Linked DNA regions of Macaca fascicularis. The protein of the gene in region 1 interacts with the protein of each later gene in a pairwise test. Links are inferred from orthologs where the notes say so. Each region holds a gene or a part of one and is shown in the gene's direction. Other genes may lie near its edges. The genes, in order: CERT1, CSNK1G2 and RTN3.

Region 1 (3,747 bases):
TAAAAAATAGGAGACTGGGATATGGGAAAAGGTCATCAAGCCTAGATTTGAAACCAGGATATAAAGAGCTGGAATTACAGGCACCCGCCACCCTGCTCGGCTAATCTTTGTATTTTTAGTAGAGACGGGGTGGTCTCAAACTCCCGGCCTCAGGTGATCCACCCAACTCGGCCTCCCAAAGTGCTGGGATTACAGGCGTGAGCCACGGCACTCGGCTAGCGTTTTCCCTTAGACTCGAAATTTCGCTCCTATTGTCCCATCCTTGTAGTAAAAAAGGTATTCTTTCTAAGGCTTAATAACAAATTTTACTCTTGGCAATTATCAGGAACTCGACTATATTAAAATAGCTAACGAGAGGAAATTACTGAAGCTACAAAGTCAAAGGTCTCACCATCAAAGTTATCCTTGACAACTGACAAGAGCTGTTAGATCTTCTTTTGGTCTTTCTGCTAATTCAACCCTAGTCTTAAAAATAGCCACCTATTGCCTAATCCCCTAATCTCGTATTTCTAATACGAGAAAGTTTCTATATATCCAAACTTTCCTATCTTTGAGGGGCAGGCATGGTTAACGTGGTTCTCAGTAAGATATTCATTTACAACTAAGAGAAAATCCCAGGCTATCATCTGACATTCTTGTTTTACTTTAAAAACCTTTCTAACGTTATTTATTCTCTGACAACCTCAAAATTACTTTCCACAAAGAAAATTCTAGAAATCTAAAAATGCGAAGTGCGTGCTTGTCAGAAGGTACTAAGGAAATTCTTCCTTTAAACGTCAAATGTGAATTCTAACTTCTAATGGGTAAGACCCTCGAGATTTACAGCGGTGGTCTGGTGGAAAGAAAACCCCCTTGGCACTAGGAGCTCACAAAACCCCATCCCGTGGTTGAGGCGGAAGCGGCTACGCGCTCCCGGGCTTTCGACAAGCAGCCCTGCAACGCAGGCCCGTCATCTTCAGCAGAAAGCTCTCTCACGTCCTGGCCCGCAAGCCCGGAGGGTTCGTCATAAACACACAAGGCAAGGATAGAAGCGAGGCCAAGAGGCAGGTCACGCAACTGTCAAACGAAGCCCACCCACCGACTGACAAGTCCCCAAGGCGACAAGCGATCCCCGCGCGGGATACTCACCCGTTACCTCAGGATCGCGACTACAACTCCCAGGAGGCTGGGCGAGCGACGAACCAACGCCCTTCCCAGAATGCAGCACAGCGGCATCCCTATCCCGCCCTCTCCTTACTGCGCTCCTCCTACTTTTCTACCCCTCGTCATCCGGGAGAGCCGGAGGTAGGGTGCGGGAGGAGGATCCCGCACGCTTGGCGTGTCGCGTCAGACGCCGGGAGGGGGACGGGGCGGGGAGGAGGAGGGGAGAATGGGAGGACGAAGGGGAGGGGAAAGGACAGGGGAGGGGAGGGTAAATAGTGGGCCAGGCAGCAAGATGGCGGCGGTAGCGGAGGTGTGAGTGTACTCGGGTCTCAGCGGCCGGATTTTCTCTTCCCTTCTTCTCCCTTTTCCTTCGCTATTTGAAATTGGCATCGAGGGGTCTAAGTTCGGGTGGCAGCACCGGGCGCAACGCAGGGGTCCCGGCGACGGCGGCGGCGGCTGACGGCTGGAAGGGTAGGCTTCCTTCACCGCTCGTCCTCCTTCCCCGCTCCGCTCGGTGTCAGGCGCGGCGGCGGCGCGGCGAGCGGACTTCGTCCCTCCTCCTGCTCCCCCCCACAGCGGAGCTGGCACTCTTCGCTTCGCCATCCCCCGACCCTTCACCCCGAGGACTGGGCGCCTCCTCCGGCGCAGTTGAGGGAGCGGGGGCCGGTCTCCTGCTCGGCTGTCGCGCCTCCATGTCGGATAATCAGAGCTGGAACTCGTCGGGCTCGGAGGAGGATCCAGAGACGGAATCTGGGCCGCCTGTGGAGCGCTGCGGGGTCCTCAGTAAGGTGAGCAACCGGTGGTGCCAGGGGACCCCTGGCCAGACTCACCTGCCGCGAGGCAATCCGCTGAGGCGGTGGGGTGGGGCTGGCGGGAGGCGCGGAACGTGCCGGGGTGCGAGGCTGAGTACTGCTGCGGCGACTAGGGATGAGGCGGGGATATAGGGGGCCTGTCCTTGCTGCCCGAGGGCTCGTCGGGGGCAGCCGAGGACCAGGGAAAGGGTGTATCAACCGGGGATCCAGTTTGGGAGACCAGATGCGTGCCGTGCCTTGGGACCTAGGGCGGCAGCTGTCCCGGGTGTAAGGAATCCGGGTTGGGCTTCAGCGGTGTCCGAACGACTGGGCACGGGAGCGGTTCAAGTCGGACCTCTTAAAAGAGGTTGGTCTGTCTGAGGATGCCAAGCCGAGTAGGTTGGGGGGCACTGCGGACGCAGCTGTTTCGACAGAAGCCGGAGCGACTCAGCTTGGTGTTGAAATTTGAGGTGTTGAACTCGCCAGGTTAGATGTAGTGAGACAGATTAATGTGGAGGACTTTCTCCCTCACCCTGTACCTTAGTTCAGAATAGAGATATTGAATCGGCACGTGATGGGTACAGGAAATATTCATAGTAACTTGAAACATGTGAGAAAGGAGACTGATCTTTAGTCCAGGAAGAAGAGCATTATTTAATAATAAACTCTTTTTGCGGTAAGGGGTCCAGGGTAGGGAAAAGATGTTTTACCTTTTATGTATTTTTTAAAATCCGTGTATCAAAATTTTAGGAAAGCAGCCATTATAGAACTGCGGATGGGTGATCTCTTGATATTACATGGTTGGGATTTTTTTTTTTTTTAAGTTTTTGCTATAAGAAGATTCACATAGCCTTTTGGACTTCTCTCCCCCTTCCTGTTAAACTTTTTTAGAAATGGCTGGAGCTAGCAGTTAACTTGGAGAGGGGGAGCTGGGCCAGTCCCTCAACAAGCTGGTCATAAGATACTATGTCATGTGCAGCTACTGGCTATTAAGAAATCACCCTGTTTCCAGTATTCATACTTTGGCACATCACTTGGACATTATTTGTGGAATTGTTTAATATAATGCTTTTATAATGTCTGTAGAAAGCTAATGAGAAGGGAACTAGAAAAGGCATGAGTAGTCAGAACTAAGGATTGCAAGTGTTGACTTTTATTTGTATAGCCGAAAAATTAGTTGTATATTGATGCTGTGATCATTCTTGAAATTTCAATGCAAGGTTTTCAGTAACGAGAAGCTCCTCAGGATTTCTTTACATTAAATGTATCCTGTAATTTAGGAATCTCTATTGAACACATTGTGTAGTAGGTACACATTTTCAGTTGATAATAGGAAGTGGGTTACTTGCTTCTCAGTGATTTTGATAGTTTCATCACTGCTCATAAGATGGGAAGCTGACTGCCATATTAGTATTGTGATGTGTTGAGTATTTTACAAAACAAATTGTAATTTTGACCTACTGATAATTACTTTTTTGGGGGTTGGGGGAATGGAGTGACTGGGGGAAAAAGTCACCAGTGCTCTGAGTTTTACTTTATGTGGAGTAGGTATACTATAGATCAAAAAATGGAAGACCAATCTCGATATTTAAATGCATACAAATGCATTTGATCACCTCTGTGGAAGGTGAATAACTTAAATTTTGACTGTTGCTTCTTATGTAGAATGAATAGGAATACAGCTTTTGGTATTCTTGCTAATAGCTATGAAGGAAATTTTCCTGAGATTTACCAATTTATGGTTATATACAGTGTTTTCTGGAAACTTTTTAATCAAGGGTATTCTAAATTGAATATATATACTCATACTGAG
Region 2 (3,647 bases), on another chromosome or scaffold:
GGAACCTCAGTTGACGAAGCCGCGGCTGGGTCGAGAGGACCGACTGCAGTTTTGAAAGACGTTCTGCTGTGGGTGATAAATGCTATCAGACGGCATCACGCCCCACAAAGAAATCTTTGATGAAAGGAAGAGTCAGTTGCTGCGGCCGACTTTTTTGTGGTCATAGTTTAAGAAGTTGCCCTCGCCTCCGGCAGCCGCTGCCCCGATGAGTCAGCCGGCGTCCACGTCGAGGCAAGACCCTCCTCCAGGGAGATTAGGGCGCACTCACAGTCCGACGATCGTTAGCGTTGTTTAGCGGTAAAGTATTTTTATTTCTCTATTATTTAGTTAAGATGGGGTCTCGCTGTATCACCCGGGCTGGAGTGCAGTGGTACGATCATGGCTCCCTACAGCCTCCGCCTCCTGGGCTCAAGCGATCCTGCCGCCTCAGTCTCCCGACTAGCTGGCACCACAGGCTTGCGGCACCATGCCCCACTTAATTAAAGTGTGTCCGCATACCGTGGTACACTGTGAACGTAACTTTTGTGCGCACCAGGAAACGAAAACATCTGAGTGGCTATTGCCGTGTGGAACCCCAAGGCACGCTTGCGATCACCTCAGGGTGTTTCTCGTACCAGAACACGGTTGCCACGTGCAGTGGGGCAGTGCTTGTGACGCTGGTGCCTTTGTTTCTGTTGTGGCTTATTCAGCTGGGAGTTCCTGTCCTAACATTTTCGGCGATGGCTGTGCACCCGTGGCCCCTCCTCACCTGCCTCCCTCAGGCCCCGCCATACCCTTCTCAGCTCCGCTCTGCACTGAAGGGGCTGGGTGGGACCCACCCTGGCATTGTCACAGCCCCGAGTGGTGTCCAGCCTGCCCCGCTCCACCAGTGGCTACTGGAGAACGACCCGAGCCTGGGTCAGGCCGTGGGGATTCCTGCAGCAGCTTACGGCTCGCTGGGGCCTCCTGCTCTCCGGTCCACTCTCCCCACTTTCAGTGTCCCCTGGCCGCCATGGGCAGGGGCAGCTCTGTGGCTTCCGTGTCCCTGCCTCAGGTCTGCCTGCTGTCGTCTGCCTCCCTCCCTCTTTCTCAGAGCAGCCCTGGGCCTGGAGATGGGGACTGTTGTGTGGCCCTTCTGTGTCTGGGGGTGGGACTGACCCCTGGCTTCAGGATCCTCAGGGCCTCTCCCCGGGATGGGCAGTCATGCCCTCCCAGCAGTACGTTCTCCCACCTGTGCCACCCACCCACCCATCTCGCTTCACAGAAAGGCCCCTGAGCCCTACCCTGTTAGTCTCTAGGCAGCCACGCCGAGACCTCTGGCCTCTAATGTCATGTGGCACGTGCTTCCCAGCCGCGTTCTGGGCACGGACAGTGCTTGTCGTGTCCCGGCCTTCAGAGCTCCTTCCAGCCCGGCAGCCCCCTGGCTGCGTCCTCTGTGGCCTCCGCCCCGTGTCCTCGCCGGCGCTCACCTGTGCCTCTGTTTCTCCACAGCTGTGAGCCGTGAGCTTTGAGGCGGTGGGACCTGTCAACAGAATGTCTCCTGCCCCCGAGAGCCACCCCAAGGCCACTGAGATGAGCACCGCGGCCTGGCCGGCCCCAGTGCCTGCGTCTCAGTAGCCGGGAGCCGCGGGCCCACGCCCGCCCGCCAGCCGCGGTGATGTTCTAGCCACAGAGGAGCCAAGACCTCAGGTTTCCAGAGACTTGGGATTTGCACGGCAGCAGAGCCACCGTGGAGAGGCCAGGGTATCACAAACTTATGGATTTTGACAAGAAAGGAGGGAAAGGGGAGACAGAGGAGGGCCGGAGAATGTCCAAGGCCGGCGGGGGCCGGAGCAGCCACGGCATCCGGAGCTCGGGGACCAGCTCGGGGGTCCTGATGGTGGGCCCCAACTTCCGCGTCGGCAAGAAGATCGGCTGCGGCAACTTCGGGGAGCTCCGCCTAGGTGAGGCCCTGCTCGTGGCTGATGGGGTGGGAGGCTGCTGGCAGGGCCGCACGGGGTCACCGGAGCCTCCAGTGGGGCCGCACGGGGTCACCGGAGCCTCCAGTGGGGCCGCACGGGGTCACCAGAGCCTCCAGTGGGGCCACCCCGGGTCACGGGATCCTCCGGCGGGGCCACACGGGGTCACCGGAGCCTCCGGCGAGGCCACCCCGGGTCACTGGCATGTGTTGAATCATCGGTCCATCGTGGTATGAGTGTCACTTCCCTTCGAGGAAGCCCCATGGGGACAGTGGGTTTCTGGCCCTGTCTCCTTTTCGGGAAACAATTCAGTTGGGAGGCAGGTGGCCCAGAGCAGGCCAGGCCATGCCGCAAGGAGTCCGAGTATTAAGTCATGAATGACTTCCACAGCCCATGTCCGTGCTGGGCAAAGCCCTGGCCTTAACCGCAGGCGCCAGCACGGAGCCAGCGTCGGGTGACTGGAGTGACTGTTCTGTGGTGATGACGCTGCTGTGTGCCACTCCCAGCTTCACCGTGTAAAACGCCGCACCAGGCCCACCTGGCTCCATGCCTTCTGCTCACACTGACCTCTCCCGGGTTGCGATCTGATTGCCCGGGCAGGCGTGAGGAGCAGGGCTGAGGACTGAGCCTGTTACTGGCCAGGGGCGCCTTCCCTTGGGTGGGGGTGCCTGAAGATGACCACCAGGCCTGGGGGAGCTCTGAGCACGTTTGGGGCCAGTCGCAGTTCGTGATTAGCTGTGCCAGGCAGCCGGGTCATCCCCAGAAATATTAAATTCATTCCTGGTGCTGCTGGCTGTACGGCCAACGCCTGAGCTCCTGCGGGAGGGCATTTGGCGTCTGTTTCTGGGGTTGTCCGGAAGACCCAAGTGCACCCCCGGTCAATGTCTGTCGTGGTGGGAGTCGGGGTCTCTGGGAAAGGGCGCAGGATGGGCAGGTCTGGGAGGCCACGGCAGTGGATCAGCCTCACGTGGGCACCCACGGCAGGCAGTACTGGAATCCGGCCCCTCGGCCCAATGAGGTTGTCAGATGAGGGAAACTGAGGCCCAGGCAGTGGGTATGTTGTGGTTGCACCTTCAAGAGTGGCCGCCCAGGGGTGCAGGAGCATGGGCAGTAGCCACCTGGACCCCAGGCATGTTTTGTGACCCCGCTTCCCACCTCCTGCCTCAGTTTACCCACCTGTTAAATAGGGATGAATGGTAGTTGCCACTGTTCAGAAGTGGGTTCAGCAGGCAGTTACGTGGCAGAAGTGTGTGTCCTGAGTCAAGCAGCTTCTCCCAGGCGAGCGCAGCTGTCGGGGTCACTGTTGGCTGCCTCAGTGTTCCCATTGGCTGCACCCGGGGCCCCAGGAGGCCCGTTTGAGACCCCATCCCGAACCAGATTCCACCCCAGCCCTTGGGGAGGCTGCTGGGATTCCACTCTTTTGCGCAGAGGCTGGGCTTGGGCCTCACTGCCTGTCTGATGGCCTGTGGCTCGGGAGGCCCCGGGCTCCGTTTCTCAGCCAAGAGAGTGAGCTTTTCCCGACGGTAGCTGTGGCCTCCCAACCCTGTGTGTGTGCGCACATACTCAGACACACGTGCAGACACATACAGATGTGTACACACATGCCCACACACGTACATGTGCACACTAAAGCACATGCACACAGGCACGCACAGCCACAACCATGTGCACACAGGCACATCTGCACACACACACCTGGCACAGCCCTGT
Region 3 (3,647 bases), on another chromosome or scaffold:
AGAGATTTAGAGGTGTCTTTAAACCAGGACCATCCTGGGCAACTGGATCTTACAGTTGGGGACTTCCAAACTGGGAAAATCGAAATACTTCTACTTAAACTCTTTTCCTGACATAATTATTAATAGTGCCCCACTCACTTTTGAAAGAGTCTCATTCTGTCACCCAGGCTGGAGTGCAGTGGCACGATGTTGGCTTACTGCAGCCTCCACCTCCCAGGTTCAAGTGATTTCTCGTGCCTCAGCTTCCCAAGTAGCTGAGATTACAAGCGTGCACCACCACGCCCAGGTATTTTTTTGTATTTTCAGTAGAGACAGGGGTCTCACCATGTTGGCCAGTCTGGTCTTGAACTCCTGGCCTCAAGTGATCTGCTTGCCTCGGCCTCCCAAAGTGCTGGGATCACAGGTGTGAACCACTGCACCCTGCCAGCCCCACTCACTTTTTTTCTTTTTTTTTTTTTTGAGACAAAGTTTTATTCTGTCACCTAGGCTGGAATGTAATGGCGCGATCTCGGCTGACTACAGCCTCCGCTTCCCAGGTTCAAGCGATTCTCCCACTTCAGCCTCCCGAGTAGCTGGGAGTACAGGCACATACCACCATGCTCAGCTAGTTTTTGTATTTTTAGTAGAGACTGGCTTTTCGCCATGTTGGCCAGGTTGGTCTTGAACTCCTGACCTCAGGTGATCTGCCCGCCTTGGCCTCCCAAAGTGCAAGAATTACAGGCATGAGCCACCATGCCCGGCCCCCACTCACTTTTTTTAAAAGTACTGCAGCTTGGCCAGGCATGGTGGCTCATGCCTATAATCACAGCACTGTGGGAGGCCACAGCAGGAGGATTGCTTGAAGCCAGGAGTTTGAGACTAGCCTGGGCAACATATTGAGACCCTGTCTCTACAAAAAAGATAAAATGTACCTGGACATGGTGGCACATACCTGTAGTCCTAGCTGCTCGGAGGCTGAGGTAGGAGGTTTGCTTGAACCCAAGAGTTAAAGGCTGCACTGAGAAATGATAGTTCCACTGCTCTCCAGCCTGGGTGACAGAGTGAGACGCTGTCTCAAAAAAGGGAGGAGGGGGTATTGTGGCTTAGATAATTATATGGTCCCCTATACATAATCCTTCCTGAATTCTTTTCAGATTAACATCGAGATTGGTGTTTCTTTGTAACTAGCACTAATAGTGCTTGGTCTATTTTTATTTACCACTTTCTTTGCCCCGCCCCAATTTATACACTGGGGCAAAATTAGCTTTGGTTTTATAGTCTGTTCACCCAACTAATTTATAGGTCTGGTTTGCATAATTTAGTTAACAGCAAGATTTTGCCACACCTGCTTTATCATCCTTTCTGCCAAAATATTTAAGGTAAATGGCACTTTACCCCAGTGTATTTCCATAGCTGAAATAAGCTCTTAAATTTTTATAATCCTATCCTGAAACCTAATCAGTGTAGCAGAAGAACCTTTTGCCTTGTGAGTTATCACCCCTGACATAATTTGATTTTCATTTATAAGATTCTCTTAGAACCAAGTACAGTAGCACACACCTGTAGTTCCAGCTACTCAGGAAGTGAAGGCAGGAGGATCACTTGAGCCCAGAGTTCCAGGCCAGCCTGGGCGACATAGTGAGACCACCATCTCTTTAAAAAAACAAAGCCAGATTATCTTAAAGTGGGGCATACCTGTATTTGTGTGCTAATGTGAGGCTCCACAGGTATGCAAGATATAGTAGCTGTGGGCATTTCCTCTAATTTATATTCCCTTTTCTTTTGTCAGTGCACGATCTGATTTTCTGGAGAGATGTGAAGAAGACTGGGTTTGTCTTTGGCACCACGCTGATCATGCTGCTTTCCCTGGCAGCTTTCAGTGTCATCAGTGTGGTTTCTTACCTCATCCTGGCTCTTCTCTCTGTCACCATCAGCTTCAGGATCTACAAGTCCGTCATCCAAGCTGTACAGAAGTCAGAAGAAGGCCATCCATTCAAGTGAGTTGAAGTCTTAAAAGTGACATTCTGCATTTTAGTGGAAGGGTTCACTGAAGCTGATAGGTCTAAAACTCAGACCTGACTAAAAAGCAAGAATTATGGGGCCTGATGCAGCTGGTGGGTGGCATGAAGCATCCCCTAGAGACCTTGAAATCACCTTAAGAAGTGGCCAAGGTAGGAGCCAAGAATTTTTTGACAAATTAGAGGCTCTACTTGAAGTTCAAAGAGGGAGTCCCCGAAGGGAGTCCTTCAAAGAAGACCCTAAATTCTTTTTTTTGAGACGGATATTGCTTTTGTTACCCAGGCTGGAGTACAATGGTGCGATATCAGCTTACTGCAACCTCTGCCTCCCAGGTTCAAGCAATTCTCCTGCCTCAGCCTCCTGAGTAGCTGGGATTACAGGCGTGCGCCACTACGCCCAGCTAATTTTGTATTTTTAGTAGAGATGGGGTTTCTCCATGTTGGTCAGGCTGGTCTTGAACTTCTGACCTCGAACTTCCGCCTGCCTCGGCCTCGCAAAGTGCTGTTTTTTTGTGTGTTTTTGTTTTGTTTTGTTTTGTTTTTGAGACAGTCTCTCAAAAACAGGCTGGATCACGGCAACCTCCGCCGTCCTGGTTCAAGCAATTCTGCCTCGGCCTCCTGAGCTGGGATTACAGGCACACGTCACCAAGCCTGGCTAATTTTTGTAGTTTTAGTAGAGACAGGGTTTCACCATGTTGGTCAGGCTGGTCTTGAACTCCTGACCTCGTGATCCGCCCGCCTCGGCCTCCCAAAGTGCGGGGATTACAGGCGTGAGCCACTGCGCCTGGCGACTCTAAATTCTTGAGCAGGGCAGGGAAAGCAGAGCACCTAGAGCAGCACTCAGTTAGATGGGGTTCTGAGTGCATGTTTAAACCCCCACATGGGTAAGACTTGAAATGACTTTCAAATCTTATTGAGTGTGTGCTGTTGGTAATATCAGAACTCAGTGTTTTTATTATTGGTTTATTACTGATTTCCTCCTTATCTCTTACTAGTTTTCTTAACACTGGAATCTTAATGAAGTCAGTAGATCTTCTGACTACATTTCTAGTATACAATTTCTAGCTTTTCTGATTGTGCTGTAACTTTAACAAATGTTTTCTTCACACTTTCCTCTTGAAAATCTTACCCCATAAACAATGTTGACTTTAACATGAGCAAATGACAGTTTTTTGAAAGCTCTTTTTTCATAGAGAAGGAGACCCTGCTGTGACCTCTCAGGACTACAACAGAATAGGTTTCTGGTCGCACCTATGCTCATTGTATTTTCTCTTGGTGAAAATAGAAGGAATAGCTTACAACTATATGTGGCATTAAAACATTTATTGCAGTTCAGCCGCGGTGACTTACGCCTGTAATCCCAGCACTTTGGGAGGCTGAGGCAGGCAGATTACTTGAGGTCAGAAGTTCAAGACCAGCCTGGCCAACATGGTGAAACCTCGTCTCTACTGAAACTACAAAAATGAGCCAGACACGGTTGCAGGCGCTTGTAATCCCATCTACTCGGGAGGCTGAGACAGGAGAATTGCTTGAACCCAGAGGCAGAGGTTGCAGTGAACGGAGATCCCACCACTGCACTCTAGCCTAGGTGACAGAGTGAGACTCTGTCTCAAAGTATAATAATAATTGCAAATTATGTTTTTTGTTTTT

What was found.
Region 2: the proteins of CERT1 (region 1) and CSNK1G2 interact in binary tests that used the Homo sapiens proteins (3 or more experiments, as listed by UniProt). The two-hybrid records come from large-scale screens. The link is inferred for Macaca fascicularis from reciprocal best matches to the Homo sapiens genes CERT1 and CSNK1G2.
Region 3: the proteins of CERT1 (region 1) and RTN3 interact in binary tests that used the Homo sapiens proteins (3 or more experiments, as listed by UniProt). The link is inferred for Macaca fascicularis from reciprocal best matches to the Homo sapiens genes CERT1 and RTN3.

The regions. Positions count from the first base shown.
Region 1 is NC_088380.1:79,526,194-79,529,940, reverse strand, and holds the start of CERT1 (ceramide transfer protein), read left to right. Parts: upstream 1-1,196; 5' UTR 1,197-1,198; coding exon 1,199-1,284; intron 1,285-1,425; exon of another isoform or gene 1,426-1,537; coding exon 1,538-1,931; intron 1,932-3,747. UniProt on the Homo sapiens protein: Shelters ceramides and diacylglycerol lipids inside its START domain and mediates the intracellular trafficking of ceramides and diacylglycerol lipids in a non-vesicular manner.
Region 2 is NC_088393.1:2,596,873-2,600,519, forward strand, and holds part of CSNK1G2 (casein kinase I), read left to right. Parts: intron 1-1,470; 5' UTR 1,471-1,735; coding exon 1,736-1,922; intron 1,923-3,647. UniProt on the Homo sapiens protein: Serine/threonine-protein kinase. Casein kinases are operationally defined by their preferential utilization of acidic proteins such as caseins as substrates. It can phosphorylate a large number of proteins. Participates in Wnt signaling.
Region 3 is NC_088388.1:10,667,744-10,671,390, reverse strand, and holds part of RTN3 (reticulon-3), read left to right. Parts: intron 1-1,768; coding exon 1,769-1,976; intron 1,977-3,647. UniProt on the Homo sapiens protein: May be involved in membrane trafficking in the early secretory pathway. Inhibits BACE1 activity and amyloid precursor protein processing. May induce caspase-8 cascade and apoptosis.